4 linked regions of the Saccharomyces cerevisiae S288C genome follow. Changing the gene in region 4 together with the main gene of any one other region gives a genetic interaction. Each region holds a gene or a part of one and is shown on either strand. Other genes may lie near its edges.

Region 1 (3,685 bases), on a different chromosome or scaffold from region 4:
AATTTTTGAATAGTTAACAGTTTATCGACACTTGTTGTTAATGGGTCACAAATTCTGTTAATATCGTTTCTTGCTAAATCTACCAGCATAACATGTTCTGCACGGTCTTTTAACGAGCCACGTAATTGGTCCGCTAAAGCATCATCCTCTTCAGTAGTAGCCCCACGTTTGACAGTACCAGCAATTGGATGGGTAATGACTCTATTTTTGGAATCCGATTTGCACAACAATTCTGGAGATGCACCAATGATTTGGAAATCCAAACAATCAATATAAAACAGGTAAGGAGATGGGTTCACTGTACGTAAATGTCTGTAAATATTGAAAGGATGTAACGAAGTTGGCCTTGCCACTCTTTGCGATGGCACACCTTGAATAATATCACCTTTCTTAATATGCTTCTTCAAAGTGGAGACGTGATTTTCGTAACCTTCCTTGCCCACATTCGATTCAAAAGTTTGATTCAATTTAATAGGAGGTTGTTCTGGATATGGTATTGGCGAGGAATCGTCGGTTAGCTTTGATACGATATCAGTGATTATTTGTGCTGCAGCTTGGTAACCTTCCTCCAACGAAGTTTCATTGGTATTAATGTTATGAATGATTTGAAATCTCTGAAAAACATTATCAAAGGCAATAATGGTATCACAAAGCATTAAATATGCCTCTGGAAGTCTTAGGACATCTTTCAAAGGCCTTCTTGTTTTTGGCTCGAAATAACGAACACAGTCATAAGAAATATAACCAATAGCACCACCACTTAATTTCGGTAAACCAGGAACATTTTCGGCTACTTTAAAGGTAGACATCTCCTTTTCCAAAATTTCCAAAGGATCTGTTTCAATGCCTTCAGTAGGACCGGTTTTGATGGTCTTGCGTGGCGAGATACCTATGAATGAATAACGATCTAATTCATTATTTGTCTTAGCACTTTCCAACAGAAATGATTCCTTTCTATCAGGGTTGTTCAATTGTGCCAATTTTAGATATGCCACGTGAGGAGTCAGATCCAATGATGGCAAATACGCATACACGGGATACATATTTATGGAACTATCGTCATTTTGCTGCTGTAATTGCTTTAGAGAGTCAATATCCGGTTGAATTTTGATGGAAGCGGTCATTTTTTGCCTTTTTTCCAATCAGAATATCAGTGCTAATTATCGATTGTGGCCTCGGTTTTAAAGTGATGATTGCCTTCTGCTACGATGGACCATAGCCCTTTAGTCATGTTAATATATCAAAATCTAACAATACTTCGATGAGTGAAAAATCGTAATGAGTCAGCAAATCACTGTGTACGTTAATGCCTTTAACAACTTTTTTTTTCCCACAAACTACTTCAACGATTGAAAGGATTATTCTAAAAAAAAAAATATCATGCTGATAAATGGAAGGGGATGGTAAAACAAAGAAAACCAGCCAATTCGGATTCTGACAGAGCAAATTGAAACTGGATATTATAGTGCTAAGTATATAGACTTCTGTTTTGTTCTTTAAAACTAAATAAAAAAAATTCACCCTCCTCCCCACGGAATAAAACTACAACAAGTTCTGTTATCAAGGACAATTAGTGTATATTAGTTGTTGTAACATTTTTTACTTTCTCTTTTTTTTTTTCATTGATTAATTATAACTATTCGTTCGAGATAGTAGTTTTCCGATTAATAACATCCCTAGGATTTTGACTATTCCATTGTTGTATAAAATATAGAGAACCAGAAAAAGAAAAATGGGACAAATTCTATCAAACCCGGTAATTGATAAAGAGAGCCACTCCGGTGCTGACTCCTTGACCGCGTTTGGACTGTGTGCAATGCAAGGGTGGCGGATGTCAATGGAGGATTCACACATTCTAGAGCCTAATGTTTTGACAAAGTCCGATAAGGACCATATTGCATTTTACGGTATATTCGATGGTCATGGTGGCGCTAAAGTAGCAGAATACTGTGGTAATAAAATAGTGGAGATCCTGCAAGAGCAGAAATCGTTCCATGAAGGAAATTTACCAAGGGCTTTGATTGATACTTTCATAAACACAGACGTGAAACTGTTACAAGATCCTGTGATGAAAGAAGACCATAGCGGATGTACGGCTACATCCATATTAGTATCAAAGTCCCAGAACTTGTTAGTATGTGGTAACGCTGGTGACAGTAGAACCGTACTCGCCACCGACGGGAACGCAAAGGCATTATCATACGATCACAAGCCCACTCTAGCAAGCGAAAAATCACGTATTGTGGCAGCTGATGGCTTCGTAGAAATGGATAGGGTCAACGGTAACTTGGCGCTCTCTCGTGCCATTGGTGATTTTGAGTTCAAATCCAACCCCAAATTGGGCCCCGAGGAGCAAATAGTGACATGTGTTCCGGACATTCTCGAGCATTCTCTAGATTACGATAGGGACGAGTTTGTAATCTTAGCCTGTGATGGTATCTGGGATTGTTTGACTTCCCAAGATTGTGTGGACTTGGTTCATCTCGGCCTTCGCGAAGGCAAGACATTGAATGAAATTTCTTCGCGGATCATCGATGTCTGTTGTGCTCCCACCACAGAGGGGACGGGTATTGGATGCGACAACATGAGTATAGTGGTTGTCGCGCTGCTGAAAGAAGGTGAAGACGTCGCTCAATGGAGCGACCGTATGAAGTCCAAGGCCCACCGCACATCAGTGCGTTCTTTTGCAGACAAGAGAAGAAGGGTGTTTAGTTACTACGATTTTTCCAAATGTAACGACGAACAGGTGTTCGCTATCACTACGAAGAAACCTCAGGACAAATTCACTCGCGACCACGAAGCCGCTGTGGCCTCGGTGACTGCCGCCGATAACGACGATCCAATGGACATAGACGACACGGACGCTGACACAGATGCAGAAAATCTTGACCCTTCCAGCCAATCCAAGAGCAAGACCTCCGGCCCCATTGATCTAGCATCCTTGGAGGCGCTACTTGGTGCTACAGGAGGAGTGAAGACAGACAGCAACGGGAACAAAGTCACCTACACTCTTCCCCAGTCTGCCTTGGCCCAACTGCTCCAAACCATGGGCCATGACCCGGCTTCCTCCCATCCCGAGAATGACAGTAACACTGACCACAAGGCCGGCCGTTCCCACTTGCAATGAAGGATCTTCCATCCTTCATTATATATACATACCTATATACGAACCGAACGAACAGAAAGAGAAGAGAAGACGCAAGACACCACCAGAACCAAGAGCATACACCACTACCACCACCATCGCTACCAACAGCAGGATATCCGGATGCAGTTTGACGCTTGAAGATGGTATTCACCTCAGGGGTAAACGCGCAGAAACTGCGCGTTTACCTGCAGCGACGCCACAAAAACGGACCGGCCCGGCCAGAGGGTGAGACCAGCAGCGGCCCCGTTGTGAAATCTCACCCCCAGTCCCGGATGGGCACGAGTCCCCAGCGCCCGTCCCATGAGGTCCTCCTAAGGTAGACAGCGCGGATGTTTCCGATGCAAAGGAGAAAGGATGGACGGTACAGACATCGTAGACAGGATTCGCGCATTGCCTTGCACATCTGTGCCCCATCCAATCTACCGTATCTATTGTTATCGTCGTGTGTGCTACTCTTTTCTCCGACAGCCTCGACAAGACGGAATCAGAAAGTGCACACAGTTTAAAAAGGAAAAAAACCGAGTACAACAAAAACAG
Region 2 (4,540 bases), on a different chromosome or scaffold from region 4:
GGACGTGATTCTTGTACCATCTTTTGCTCTAATTTTACGTGCGTATCTATGTGTGTGTATTCTATAAGAGTACAAAAAAAAACTGTATATTGTTGTCCTAATTCTATAACTTTTCCATTTGGCTTATCCTTACTTACAGCCACAGAGCTTCTATTCTGTCTCTTCGAGATTTAACCGGCTGGGCCGACAAGAAAAACGGTAGAGCACCATGTGAATATTATACCATAAAGAACAAAGAACAAGAGAACGATCTGTTGGTGGTGTTCTAAAGTGAAGGAGGTTACCAATCGCTTAGAAGAAGACTGGCCTATGGAATTCATATCTGCAGACTATTCTAGCAGTGACGGTAGTGATACCGAGAGCGAAAGTAGTAACAAAAGTGAGGTCCAAATCGAATACACGGAGAAAACTTGCATACAGAAAGCCGATTCCACTGATTTACCTGCAATACCGGATTCAATTATATTGAAGTACCACATCCCTCCGAATTTACAAAAGTACGAGCACCAGGATATGAATATGAGTCGATTTTGGCGTTCGTTCACATATTTTGAGTGGCGTCCGACTCCAGCGATTCACCGACAACTTCAGAAAATCATATGTAAATATAAAGAAACATTTATGAAACAGGAATACACTAATCCGTATCAACTGGTGGATTTTGACCCGTTGTTCATCTCACACTTGGGAGCCCCCAAACCTTTACACGTTTCCTTAACTCGATCGTTGTTGTTTGAAACTGAAGAACAAAGACATGTTTTCATTCAAGAAATGCGTAATGGTTTACGAAATAATGAAATAACCCCTTTTAAACTTCAAATCTGCTCATATCCGAAGTTATATATATCAGAACGAGCCAACACCTTGTACCTCGGTCTCCCTGTCTCAGAATGTCCCAATAAGGCACAAATTTCTCCTTTCAAAACGATAATAGCTGAGGCACTTCAGAAATCAGGCATTTCAAACTATCAGGATTTAATTGTAAGTAGGCAAAATTTACATGTTTCAATTGCCATCGCTAGCAACCCTTCAAAAGCCACATTAAAACGTTATCAACAATTAAACGAGACGATGGGGGCGCTTTTACTACTCAATAATGACTTTGCATACAAACTAGAGTTCTTAGTTAACTCTATCTATTGTGATGAAAACCGTCACTCCATTAGAATCCCTTTTAACTAATAGTGTTATAGGAATAGCCGCCCAAAAATACCGGGGCACTGAGAGCGGCTCGTCAGATAGGTGAAGGTTGTCATAATATACGATATATATCTCAAAACGGCAAAATGTAAACATTGGCACTTTGGGAAAATTTCAGGACACTTTTGGTTTACAGGTAAAGGATAAGGATGCTTGTAGCTAGTAAATCAACTCCAGAAAGCATTTAGCCATTAACGGGCAAATATTAAGGAGGGAGTACTGTTTGTTTACTCGCAATATTTCTGTCCCTTTTCTTTCATTAAGGGTTTTATAGTACACATAAACTTATAACAACCTCTCTCGGCATTGTACCTAGCAAACAAAAGCTACGTTGCAGGGAGACTCAAGCAACAGTTAAAGTGCTAGAAGAAAAAAATACAAGGCATAAATTCAAGAAATAACTAAAGAAATCTATAGGACCAAAAACGGTGTTAATACAATCATGGATAACGTTGTAGATCCGTGGTATATAAATCCCTCAGGCTTCGCGAAAGACACTCAAGATGAGGAGTATGTTCAACATCATGATAATGTCAATCCTACCATACCCCCACCCGACAATTATATTTTGAATAATGAAAACGATGATGGCCTCGATAACTTGTTAGGTATGGACTACTATAACATCGATGACCTGTTGACTCAAGAGTTAAGAGATCTGGATATTCCTTTAGTGCCTTCTCCTAAGACGGGCGATGGTTCTTCTGATAAAAAGAATATTGATAGAACTTGGAACCTTGGTGATGAAAACAACAAAGTCTCCCACTATAGCAAAAAATCAATGTCCTCACACAAGAGAGGTCTAAGTGGCACAGCGATATTTGGATTTCTCGGCCATAATAAGACATTGAGTATTTCCAGTTTACAGCAATCCATTCTAAATATGTCTAAAGATCCGCAACCCATGGAACTCATAAATGAATTGGGTAATCATAATACGGTAAAAAATAACAATGATGACTTTGACCATATAAGGGAAAATGATGGTGAAAATAGCTATTTGAGCCAAGTTTTGTTGAAACAGCAGGAGGAGTTAAGAATTGCTCTTGAAAAACAAAAGGAAGTGAACGAAAAATTGGAGAAGCAGTTGAGAGACAATCAAATACAGCAAGAAAAGTTGCGTAAAGTATTAGAAGAGCAAGAAGAGGTGGCGCAGAAGTTGGTTTCTGGGGCTACAAATTCTAATTCCAAACCTGGATCTCCAGTAATACTAAAGACACCTGCCATGCAAAACGGTAGAATGAAAGATAATGCTATAATCGTCACAACGAACTCTGCAAATGGCGGATATCAATTTCCTCCTCCGACGTTAATATCGCCTCGGATGTCAAATACTTCAATAAATGGTTCACCATCCAGGAAATACCATAGGCAACGATATCCAAATAAAAGCCCAGAAAGTAATGGATTGAACCTTTTTTCCTCTAACAGTGGTTATTTGAGAGATTCTGAACTGCTTTCATTTTCTCCACAAAATTATAATTTAAACTTGGACGGCTTGACTTATAATGACCATAATAACACCAGTGATAAAAACAATAATGATAAAAAAAATAGTACTGGTGATAACATATTCCGTCTGTTCGAAAAGACTTCCCCGGGTGGGCTAAGTATCTCTCCAAGGATAAATGGAAATAGTTTGAGATCGCCCTTCCTCGTCGGCACAGATAAAAGCAGGGATGATCGATATGCTGCTGGCACGTTCACGCCTAGAACACAGTTGTCACCTATCCACAAGAAAAGGGAATCCGTAGTTTCCACGGTCTCGACAATATCACAACTGCAGGATGACACTGAACCCATCCACATGCGAAATACCCAGAACCCAACATTAAGAAATGCAAACGCTTTAGCGTCATCAAGTGTACTACCTCCTATTCCTGGTTCCAGCAATAACACTCCAATTAAGAATTCTTTGCCACAAAAACATGTATTTCAACATACTCCCGTCAAAGCTCCACCAAAGAACGGAAGTAACCTAGCTCCGCTTCTAAATGCACCGGATTTAACAGATCATCAGTTAGAAATTAAGACACCCATACGAAATAACAGTCACTGTGAAGTGGAAAGCTATCCGCAAGTACCACCTGTCACACATGATATTCACAAAAGCCCCACTTTGCATAGTACGTCTCCTTTACCAGATGAAATAATACCTAGGACTACGCCAATGAAAATAACCAAGAAACCAACTACTCTGCCTCCGGGTACCATTGACCAGTACGTCAAGGAACTACCCGACAAACTATTCGAGTGCTTATACCCTAACTGTAACAAAGTATTCAAGCGTAGATACAACATAAGGTCGCATATTCAGACACATTTGCAAGATAGACCGTATTCATGCGACTTTCCCGGTTGCACCAAGGCGTTTGTTCGCAATCATGATTTAATAAGACACAAAATCTCCCATAATGCCAAGAAATACATCTGCCCATGCGGAAAGAGATTTAATAGGGAGGATGCTCTAATGGTGCATAGAAGTCGGATGATTTGCACCGGCGGTAAGAAATTAGAACATTCGATCAACAAGAAACTTACATCTCCCAAAAAAAGCCTGCTTGACAGCCCGCATGACACAAGTCCCGTAAAAGAAACTATCGCCCGGGATAAAGATGGGAGCGTCCTAATGAAAATGGAGGAACAGCTGCGAGATGATATGCGCAAACATGGATTACTGGATCCACCCCCATCCACAGCAGCGCACGAGCAAAACTCGAACCGCACCCTTTCAAACGAAACTGATGCTCTCTGACGAACATTTATCTATGCATGATATTAACATAATAAATAATAGTAACAATAATATAATACATTTATTTCTTTACGATTTACGTACACTGTAGTCTTAAGGGCCAAAAAAGGCAATAGTCATCGTTTATAGGGACATAACCCTAAAGGTTATATGCGACTCCTTCTCGAAAATGAAAATTTTTCACAACCTTTAGGGTACATTGCCCTTTAACTACTACAAACCAGCTTCACACATCCTTTGGTAAAACACAGTGTGACGATTTTAAATGACGCAACCTTTTGGGAGACACGATCTAAAACCCACTATATATGATGATACTGTTTATTGAATCATACACCCTGTTGGTTAGACCGGAAGAAAGCTAAAGTTGATCTCCGAAAATACAACGGTGCATCAACCAAAGAAAACATTGCAGGCGTTTCCAAGTGACACTGCATATTCGAAAGTATGGTTGATCTTATAGCGAGGGATGACTCCGTAGATACTTGCCAAGCTTCTAACGGCTACAATGGGCACGCAGGTCTTAGAATTCTGGCAGTATTCATTATACTGATATCGTCAGGATTGGGAGTTTATTTCCCAATT
Region 3 (3,940 bases), on a different chromosome or scaffold from region 4:
CTGAATGTTTTATTGGGGAAAAATGGTGCGCCCTTTTCAGATGCAAAATGAGTTGATTCCAGCTCTGCAAGTTGAAGATAGACATCAAGCGAATCTAACCCAAGTGATGTTTCGAAAGGTATGTCCGAAATGATAGCTAACAGCTTCGTCTTGAACGCTTCATACACCTTTCTACACCAATTAACAAACTGTTCCTTCTCTAATGTGCTCTTTTTGGACGAAGGAAGGGTCAAGTCGCCGCGGGAAAACAGCTTTCTAAATATCTGGAATAGCGACATAACCAGAAATCTCAAATTTTTTTCTGTCTCATCTTCTTCCAATTGAGTAACATTTTCTGGAATCACTAGTTCATTGATTAACTTGATAATGGAGTTGTACTGCTTTCTGTCACCCGCAGCAGTCAGCCTCTTGGCAATATCTTTAATTTCTGATATAAGCAATACCATATTCTTTGACGTTTCTTTTTAATAGATCTCTCTTCATGGCAATAGAGGATGATAATTACATCTCATCTCATCTCATCAAAACCGTAATACACTTTTTTTTTTCTCAGTTGGAAAATTTTAGTGAAAAATTTCAAGAATAGCCCTAAACCTTCAAATACGAGGATTACCCGTAGAGAAGTGCTGAAAAACTTTTTTCTTTTTCTTTTTTTTCGATTTTCATTTAACAGGTATAAAAAGCGAAACACTCGGTACATATATTTTACCAAGACGCGTTAGATTTTCTTTGGAGGTTTCATTTAAAGAAACCAATGACCTTCCAAGTTTTTAAAAGAATACGATGATATTATTTGCGTTTCAAATCGAACAATTCTTCTCGGAGCGATCTGAGGTTTTAATGGAGATAGCGGTTCCTGCGCAACCCATTGATCTTGTTACATTCTTAAGAATGACAAGGACGCTTTTATAAAATTCTGATTCTTTTTTCTTTCATTCTTTTGTTGTTTTTGACTTGGGAGTAGTCATCTCATCTGTACACAAGTAGCTTTTTATATGTTCTTAAATTGTAGACTAGTCAAAACTTGTGTCCTTTAAACCGTGCCGAAACAGTTTTAAAGCGGACATCCAGGGAAACTTGCCGTTAACAATAAGTGACCTTGCATGGAAGACTGTCGATTGGTCTCTGTGGAAACCAGTGCATATCTAAATTAAATCTATTGTCATCACGAATGCCGCCCGTGTTCGTGCAACGTGAGCGCAAATACGCCTGGGGTCTGTCTTTCTGCGCTGGAAAGCACCTTCGGGCATCAACTACCGTTTCTTATCGCTGGCACTATCTATCCACCAATCACACGGCAGCAGTACTGCTGCCGTGGACGGCAAATTAGGTACAGGGCCTATGACTGTTATCATTTGGCAGGCTCAGACAGAGAGAGAGAGCACAAGGAAAAGAGCCTTAACTCATGTAACATTTGACTCATTCTGTAAACTGAAAATTTGCTGCCCACTCGAGATGACAAATAGTTCGTTCTTGAATTTATGCGCATTTATAGATACGCATATATAACCCTATAGTGAACGCCACTAGGAGACAGATTCTGTTTGGACCCTGATCGCATACTCTTCTTACCTTTACATAATAAAATAAGAAAAAGTATAACTTGCTTTACGCTAAGGATATAAATCGGACGTAACTTAAGATGTGTGGTATTTTCGCCGCTTTCAGGCACGAAGACGTGCATAGATATAAGCCAAAGGCTCTACAACTATCAAAAAGAATCAGACACCGTGGTCCAGATTGGTCCGGTAATGCTATCAAGAACTCCACTATATTTGTTCATGAAAGACTAGCCATTGTCGGTGTGGAATCCGGTGCTCAACCAATTACTTCTTCAGACGGAGAGTACATGCTATGTGTTAACGGTGAAATCTACAACCACATTCAATTAAGAGAAGAATGCGCAGACTACGAGTTTGGAACACTGAGTGACTGTGAGCCTATCATCCCAATGTACTTAAAGCACGATATCGACGCTCCTAAGTACTTGGATGGTATGTTTGCTTGGACTCTTTACGACGCTAAACAAGATCGTATTGTGGCAGCCAGAGACCCAATCGGTATTACGACATTATATATGGGACGCTCTTCCGCTTCTCCAAAGACCGTTTATTTTGCATCCGAACTAAAATGTTTGACTGACGACTGTGACACTATCACTGCATTCCCACCGGGCCACGTATACGATTCTAAGACTGACAAGATCACCCGTTACTTCACACCAGATTGGCTGGACGAAAAACGCATTCCTTCCACCCCAATAGATTACATGGCAATTAGACACTCCTTAGAAAAAGCCGTTAGAAAGAGATTAATGGCCGAAGTCCCATACGGTGTTCTATTGTCGGGTGGTTTGGACTCCTCTTTAATCGCTTCCATTGCTGCCCGTGAAACTGCAAAGGCCACTAACGATGTCGAACCATCAACTTACGATAGTAAGGCAAGACATCTAGCAGGTATCGACGATGACGGTAAGCTACACACTGCTGGTTGGACAAGTCTCCATTCCTTTGCCATCGGTTTACCAAATGCTCCAGATTTGCAAGCCGCAAGAAAGGTTGCCAAATTCATCGGCTCTATTCATCATGAACACACCTTTACATTACAAGAAGGTTTGGATGCTTTGGACGACGTGATCTACCATTTGGAAACTTACGACGTTACCACTATCAGAGCTTCCACTCCAATGTTCTTACTATCCAGAAAGATTAAGGCCCAAGGGGTCAAGATGGTTCTTTCCGGTGAAGGTTCCGATGAAATCTTCGGTGGTTATCTATATTTCGCACAAGCTCCTTCTGCGGCAGAATTTCACACTGAATCCGTGCAACGTGTCAAGAACTTGCATTTGGCAGATTGTTTGAGAGCTAACAAGTCTACGATGGCTTGGGGTCTAGAAGCTCGTGTTCCATTCTTAGACAGAGAATTTTTGCAATTGTGTATGAACATCGATCCAAATGAAAAGATGATTAAACCAAAGGAAGGACGTATTGAAAAGTACATTCTAAGGAAGGCATTCGACACCACAGGAGAACCAGATGCTAAGCCATATTTACCAGAAGAAATTTTATGGAGACAAAAAGAACAATTTTCCGACGGTGTTGGTTACTCCTGGATCGACGGATTAAAAGATACCGCCGAAGCAGTCATTTCAGATGAAATGTTTGCCAGTCCAAAGGCCGAATGGGGTAGTGACATTCCAACCACAAAAGAGGCTTTCTGGTACAGACTAAAATTCGATGCTTTGTTCCCTCAAAAGACCGTGGCTGACACCGTTATGAGATGGATTCCAAAGGCCGACTGGGGTTGTGCTGAAGATCCTTCTGGTAGATATGCCCAAATTCATGAAAAACATATCGAATAAATAACATTAAAAAATAGAAAAAGAATTATGGATTAATCTTATAGATATTTTTATAGAAAAACAAACACTAACAATAATAATAATAATAAATAGAATATAGAAATACATATTTTTCATAATAGTTTGATGAAGTTTTATTCATAAATCATTTTTTATCGCCAGTGCTAAAAAATTAAGTGTGTGGATGACTGTATATATGCGTATCGAACGATCTTGATGCAAATCATTTTGAAACATTATTCTTGACTTTGATATTTCCTATTATACATCCTCCTTCCTTGAGACCCAATAATCTTAAAAATGATGGAGACAGTGCATGCCCTCCTTTTCACCCTTCTTTTATGTCGTTTCTTACAATTTTCGAGATTCTTTTGAATCTGATCTCCTTTTACCTTGTGACTGAAGATTCCTAATCGAATTGCTCCTCTCTAGCGACGCCCTTTGTTTCATTTCGTGTGCAATTAGTAGATCGTGCCTTGTTATTACTGTATTCTTATTTCTTGATTTAATTTCCGCTCGATAGTTTTGCGGATATTGACTATCACTTTTCTTAAATATTAGTTTTATTTTTCTGAAGGC
Region 4 (5,727 bases):
AAATTCCACAAGCTGATATTTTTATCAATTGTATATATCTATCGAAGCCAATTGCTCCTTTCACTAACATGGAGAAACTGAATAATCCTAACAGAAGACTAAGGACCGTGGTGGACGTATCAGCAGACACTACCAACCCTCACAACCCCATCCCAATATACACTGTGGCTACTGTGTTTAACAAACCTACCGTTCTGGTACCTACCACTGCCGGGCCTAAATTATCTGTCATCTCTATTGATCACTTGCCTTCTTTGCTGCCAAGAGAAGCTTCAGAATTTTTCTCTCATGATCTCTTACCATCTTTAGAGCTCCTACCTCAAAGAAAAACTGCTCCTGTCTGGGTTAGAGCCAAGAAATTGTTCGATAGACATTGCGCTCGTGTTAAAAGATCTTCAAGATTGTAGTTTACATTTAAAGTATATACATTATCGTTACGCTGACATTTACAAGTTTAATTTTTTTTTGACTTTTTTTAAATGACTTTCTCTTCTTTTAAGTGTACTGTCTTTTCATTATACACACATATATATATATATATACGTAAAAAAGCAGACTAACTGACAATTAAATCGTTCAACATTCTTGTTGTTTGCAGGTTTGATAATTTTGACCTGAATGCAGTTTTCATCCTTTCATTTCCCAGCAAGAACTTTGCTAATGCAATTCTCAAGTACTCTGAGATTAATTCGCTTATATGATTGATGGAACTATCTTGGTTGCCAAATTTGTACATGATGAACCATGTCAAAAGTAGTAGTGTTAAGGGTATCCAGAAAAATATTAACATTTTATCATTTCGGAAGTTTTGTTTGTTTTGGAAGAATCTGTTAAACTGTTTTTTCAAAAATTCTTCCTCTTCCTCATAATCCTCTTCCTCCGAATTTTCAGAGTTTTCAATATTAGATGCTGACTGCTCCACAATACTGTCTTGATTTGTGGTTTTCAATTTATCATCTTTACCCCAAGACAACGGGAACAGATCCTCATATTTTGGTAAGTCATCATTAATTCGATGTAAAACTCTATTCCAGAGAGATGTACTACCATTATCCTCTTCGGGTTCGTTGGCGCTAGATCCAATATCAAGGAGTTCGCTTTGTTCCTCCCTGCATGCAACACCTGGTTTTTCTACTTCGTCAGTGACGAACAGATCTTCATCCCCGTCTTCTTCGAAATCACTTTGGTCGTACTCAGAGTAACTTGAATTCTCAAATAGTTGCAAGGTTGGATGCTGAATCTCCATAGAAGTGGGATTTATCATGCTTTGGCTTTCGAATAAGTTCTCATTCAAAGATTCATTGTCTAGCAGGCTTGAATTGAAACTGGATTGTGAATATTTCCTGCTAATAGAATAATTACTGTCTGTTTCTACACTATCGGTAAACTTCGTACCGTTTTGGAATTCTTCAAACAATGACAATACTTCGCTGATATAAGTGTCATTATGAACAAACTTATGGTTGTCTCTGTTATCTTGTTTTTTGTCTATTTCCTTTGAATGAATGTGGTTTGCTATGAATACTTCTCTTGCAGTTAATCCGTTGTGTGACCTCAGTGAATAATTTACTTTACAATTTAAAAGCATCTTAATAATTTTAGGGTCACCACTTATGCAAGCAAAATGTAATGGAGTTAGCCCAAAGGAATCAATATCGTTAACACGAGCACCCTTTTTAATCAATGTATACACAAGGCTTGAGTAATTTTTCAAACAGGCAAGATGTAATAAAGTTCTCCCTAATGAATCACATATGGAAATATTGGAATTTATGTTCAATGATTTTATAACTTTTTGTATCAAGACTTCATCGGAGTAAAGAACACTTGTGTTCAGATTCATACTGTGTTGGTTTGGAGAGGGACCTGTGCTTTTTGAACAGCTGTTGCCATTTGTACCGCTATCAGGAGAATCATTGCCAACAATCCTCTTCGCGATATTTCTTGCATCTTCTAACTTACCATTCATTTTTAATCCCACAATTTGCAAAGCCAATTCAATCAGTTGCCTATCAGTATCATCAACATAGGTAAATATGGCCTTTTTATTGTCATTGATCTCAATTTCTTGGGGAAGGTCATCGTTATTATTTTCATTATTCGTATCAGTAATAGAGACGAAAACTTGACCCGCGTAGGCAGCGGGAGGGAGATAAGTGACGATCGTGGTCTCACTCCAGCATTGCGTAGAAAGGGCAAGATTAGAGCCGAACTTTACAGAAAGACCATCTTTGAAGTTACAACCCAGTAATGTAACTTCGATACCACCATTGATTGGGCCTTGTGAAGGTATAACGCGATTAATTGATGGCAAATTATTGTTGTTGTTTTTCATTGAGAAATCTTGCATTGAATGTAAAGCTGGATTCATCGTATTTGTTGCACTGATTGAATTTGAAAAGGAATGCTTGAATAGGGGTTTACCAATGTCATTTTCCAAATTATTGCGTGCTCTTTTCCGTTGGTTCAATTGACTCTGTTGTTCAATATTTGTCAAAGAGATAGTACGGACGGGATTGTCATTATCGCGATGATGATAGTTAAATGATTCTGAGCCTTCTTCGCTCATAGATGTTGGTGATGGAATATGCTGATTGGGCAGAGAAAGGTTCAGTGATAAGTTATTGTTCTGAAGCAAATCTGTCTGTTGAGAGATGGAATATGGGAATGGTACGTTTTTGTCTTTCAGTGGAATATTATTCATTTGACTGTCATTATCATATGGGTTGTGTTGATAAGTATATTGAAATGGCATATTTTCGTCTTTGCTCAATTGGTTGTTATCCGTTGAATAATATTCTGTGGTAGATTCTTCTTCCGTTAGCTGCCTTCTGGACGAGGTAGTAGTGTTATTAAACTTGGTGGTATCCATATTTGCTGGTTTTCTATCCGTGATCATAATAGGTGTTGTCGTAAACTTACCCAACAGTCTATTTTGCCAATCTGTTATAGTGAATAATATGACAAAGCCATTATTTGCCTTATGGTGCCTGCAATAACAAACTAGCCTGGTAGTTAATTCAAACTCCTTAACATTATCGAAAGTTTTCATTATGGGGAAAACCTGTTTGTTATTGAACACGACTAACCTTCTATTAATATTATTACACCAGAGTAAATTGTCTGCAATACCTGATTTCCTTCTAGCGGCTCTTCTTTGTTCTCGCTTAACACACTTGGTACAAACATTTGTCGTTCTGTTGCTGACCGCACATAGAACAAACGCATTGATGTACAGAAGATTTTTCTTGAAGTCTTCTGAAAAATCCTCGATATTTTTTTTTAAATAAAACTTTTCTCTTGAAATGGAATCGCTAGGCAAGTAAAGCATGCTTTGGTTTAGTGGTGTTTCAGACGTAATTTTCACTTTCAGTTTCAGTTGATTTTCCACTCTAGATACTTGTGGCAAACCTGAGACCTCTACATCCAAAGGTAGCTGCGCTGCGTTCACTTTAAGGTAATCTAAAGGATTTATGTAAACAGATTGAATCGTCTCCTTTCTTCCAAATACAATCTCGTCATGAGCAGGGTTGCCTATATTTTTTTCATTAAAAACCTTATTTTCATGCTCGTCCTCTTCTTCCTCCTTCAAGGCTCTGTTACTTTCCATTTCCTCCTCCAGTGGAGTGGACACGTTTTGGTTGACATGAGTATTGTTACCGATACCTTCGAAAGACAACAGGTTGGGCGAATCACCCTCATCTGTCTTGATAAAATTTTGGAAATTAGCACCCTCATCAATATTAATATGCGCCATGCTATCATCCTGGTACATGGGAGACCCGTTCAGGAGGAAATCGTCCAAGAGCTGTGATTCCATTACGCTATTCGCGTGCAATTGAGATATATGAGGGTCGCTTCCAGGTGTTTCCGTTAAGAACTCACTGTTCTGCTGCATAACGAAATGTTCTGTTCGCCAAAATGACCTTCAATAAGTGCCTTTAAATGCACAATAAGGGGGGGAAGCAGGATCTAGTCTTAACGACCCCAAGAACGACTGTTGATCAAGCGCCGCTGTCCTTTTAAAAGGCTTTCGGCGGCTGTATTTTCTGGTTTAGAGCTCACCCATTTGAAAATGTTGAGTTTTTTGTCATGATCCACGATATAAAAAGAAATACGACATTTCTAGGGTAACATCAGAATGCCCTTGCTTTTATTGTTAGGGTTATTTTCAAAAGTAGAATTTTGGAAATAAGTCCTAGCCTTTTTGTAACACTAACCCTGAGACAAAGTGCCAGATAAGATAAGATGGATTGGCAAATAAATGGGGAAAGATAAGCGAGGTAAGACTGATAAGAAGCATATGCGGTCTATTCATGTGCATTCGCATATATAAGTCAGTAACTGTCATCCAATCGCTCTTGATGCTTATCTTGTAGGGCAAAAAATCTTTGAAGCAAAGATATGGTGACCGTGGTGGCGGAGACATTGACGAAAGAGTCCTTCGAGGAGTATGGGACGATAATTTCGCCAGATGAAGAGATTTCAAGGATGCAAAACCTTGAAAAAGGTGCAAACCAGGGAACAGCGATCAAATTGCTTCAAGTAAGCCAGGTAGAGAATAAATCTACCAGTAAAGTTCCCAATTGGAACCTATTCCGTTGCTTTCCACAGCCGCACCTGAATAGAGTATTCACTCAAGGCTCCAATCAGGCGATTTCTCATTCTATCAAAGTCCTCGAAAAGCATCCGTGTAGTACGCAGACGTTTGTGCCTATGGGGAGAACGTCAGCGGAAGTAGCATACTTGGTAGTAGTCGCTAAAGAAATTGGAAATAAGCCAGACTTGTCTACGTTGAGGGCTTTTACATGTTTGGGTAATCAGGCCGTTACCTATGGCTTAGGTACCTGGCATGCGCCCATGATAGTACTTGGCAAGGAAGAACATTTGGATTTTTCAGTCTTAATCTACGAAAGTCTGGACCCTGACAGGCCCGAGAAGGACTGTGTGGAAGAACACTACAGCGATGGCGACGTTTGTATTATCATCTAATTCTGCGACTGTGGGCGAAGTAAATATGTAAATGTTCATGTATTAGTAATTTCATAGGTTTACGATTATCGACATAAAATCTCCGCTGAAAGTTGCGGTGCGATAGAATACCGCGGATTTTGGAAAATTGCGTTTGCTTTTCTTATCACATAAATTGAATTTCATAAGTTTTGGCTTATCTTGGATAAGGTACATCGTGAAAGTATCACAAAGATTGGATAGTTTCGTCAATTGGTGAAGCAATAAGTATAAAATGGGGACATTTACGCATGTAGTCTTAATTCTTCACTTTCTGTGCAGTTGATATCACTTAGAGTATGTGTCATAGGCACGGTAAAGAGCACTGAACAATGGTGAAGATAAGCTTGGACAACACTGCTCTATACGCAGACATCGACACGACTCCTCAATTTGAACCTTCCAAAACTACTGTAGCTGATATTTTAACAAAAGATGCCTTAGAGTTCATTGTTTTGCTGCATAGAACTTTCAATTCAACACGGAAACAGCTTTTAGCCAACAGAAGCAATTTACAATCAAAGTTAGACTCTGGTGAATACCGATTTGATTTCTTGCCGGAAACCGAACAAATCAGGAACGATCCTACATGGCAAGGTGCTATCCCAGCCCCTGGTTTGATCAACAGATCCAGCGAGATTACTGGGCCACCATTGAGAAATATGTTAGTCAACGCTTTGAATGCTGAAGTAACGACATATATGACTGATTTCGAGG

What was found.
Region 1: of MGA2 (region 4) and PTC2, changing one enhances a phenotype caused by changing the other (phenotypic enhancement), as found in Saccharomyces cerevisiae (2 studies listed by BioGRID, with this or other methods).
Region 2: mutations in MGA2 (region 4) and ACE2 together harm fitness more than expected from each alone (negative genetic interaction), as found in Saccharomyces cerevisiae (3 studies listed by BioGRID).
Region 3: mutations in MGA2 (region 4) and ASN1 together harm fitness more than expected from each alone (negative genetic interaction), as found in Saccharomyces cerevisiae (2 studies listed by BioGRID).

What each region holds. Positions count from the first base shown.
Region 1 is NC_001137.3:335,388-339,072, reverse strand, and holds PTC2 (type 2C protein phosphatase PTC2), read left to right. Parts: upstream 1-1,732; coding exon 1,733-3,127; downstream 3,128-3,685. Other genes in the region: anthranilate synthase TRP2, read right to left, coding at 1-1,124. UniProt on the Saccharomyces cerevisiae protein: Dephosphorylating regulator for many key proteins. Dephosphorylates the cell cycle master regulator CDC28/cyclin-dependent kinase 1; its activity appears redundant with phosphatase PTC3.
Region 2 is NC_001144.5:403,925-408,464, reverse strand, and holds ACE2 (DNA-binding transcription factor ACE2), read left to right. Parts: upstream 1-1,642; coding exon 1,643-3,955; downstream 3,956-4,540. Other genes in the region: bifunctional choline kinase/ethanolamine kinase CKI1, read right to left, coding at 1-20; USB1 (phosphoric diester hydrolase), read left to right, coding at 310-1,182; low-affinity Zn(2+) transporter ZRT2, read left to right, coding at 4,403-4,540. UniProt on the Saccharomyces cerevisiae protein: Plays a role in regulating basal-level expression of CUP1. Activates EGT2 transcription in the absence of SWI5.
Region 3 is NC_001148.4:820,978-824,917, forward strand, and holds ASN1 (asparagine synthase (glutamine-hydrolyzing) 1), read left to right. Parts: upstream 1-1,642; coding exon 1,643-3,361; downstream 3,362-3,940. Other genes in the region: ribosome biosynthesis protein NOC4, read right to left, coding at 1-446; YPR145C-A (uncharacterized protein), read right to left, coding at 3,713-3,940.
Region 4 is NC_001141.2:414,295-420,021, reverse strand, and holds MGA2 (Mga2p), read right to left. Parts: upstream 3,899-5,727; coding exon 557-3,898; downstream 1-556. Other genes in the region: LYS1 (saccharopine dehydrogenase (NAD+, L-lysine-forming)), read left to right, coding at 1-407; DAL3 (ureidoglycolate hydrolase), read left to right, coding at 4,405-4,992; malate synthase DAL7, read left to right, coding at 5,343-5,727.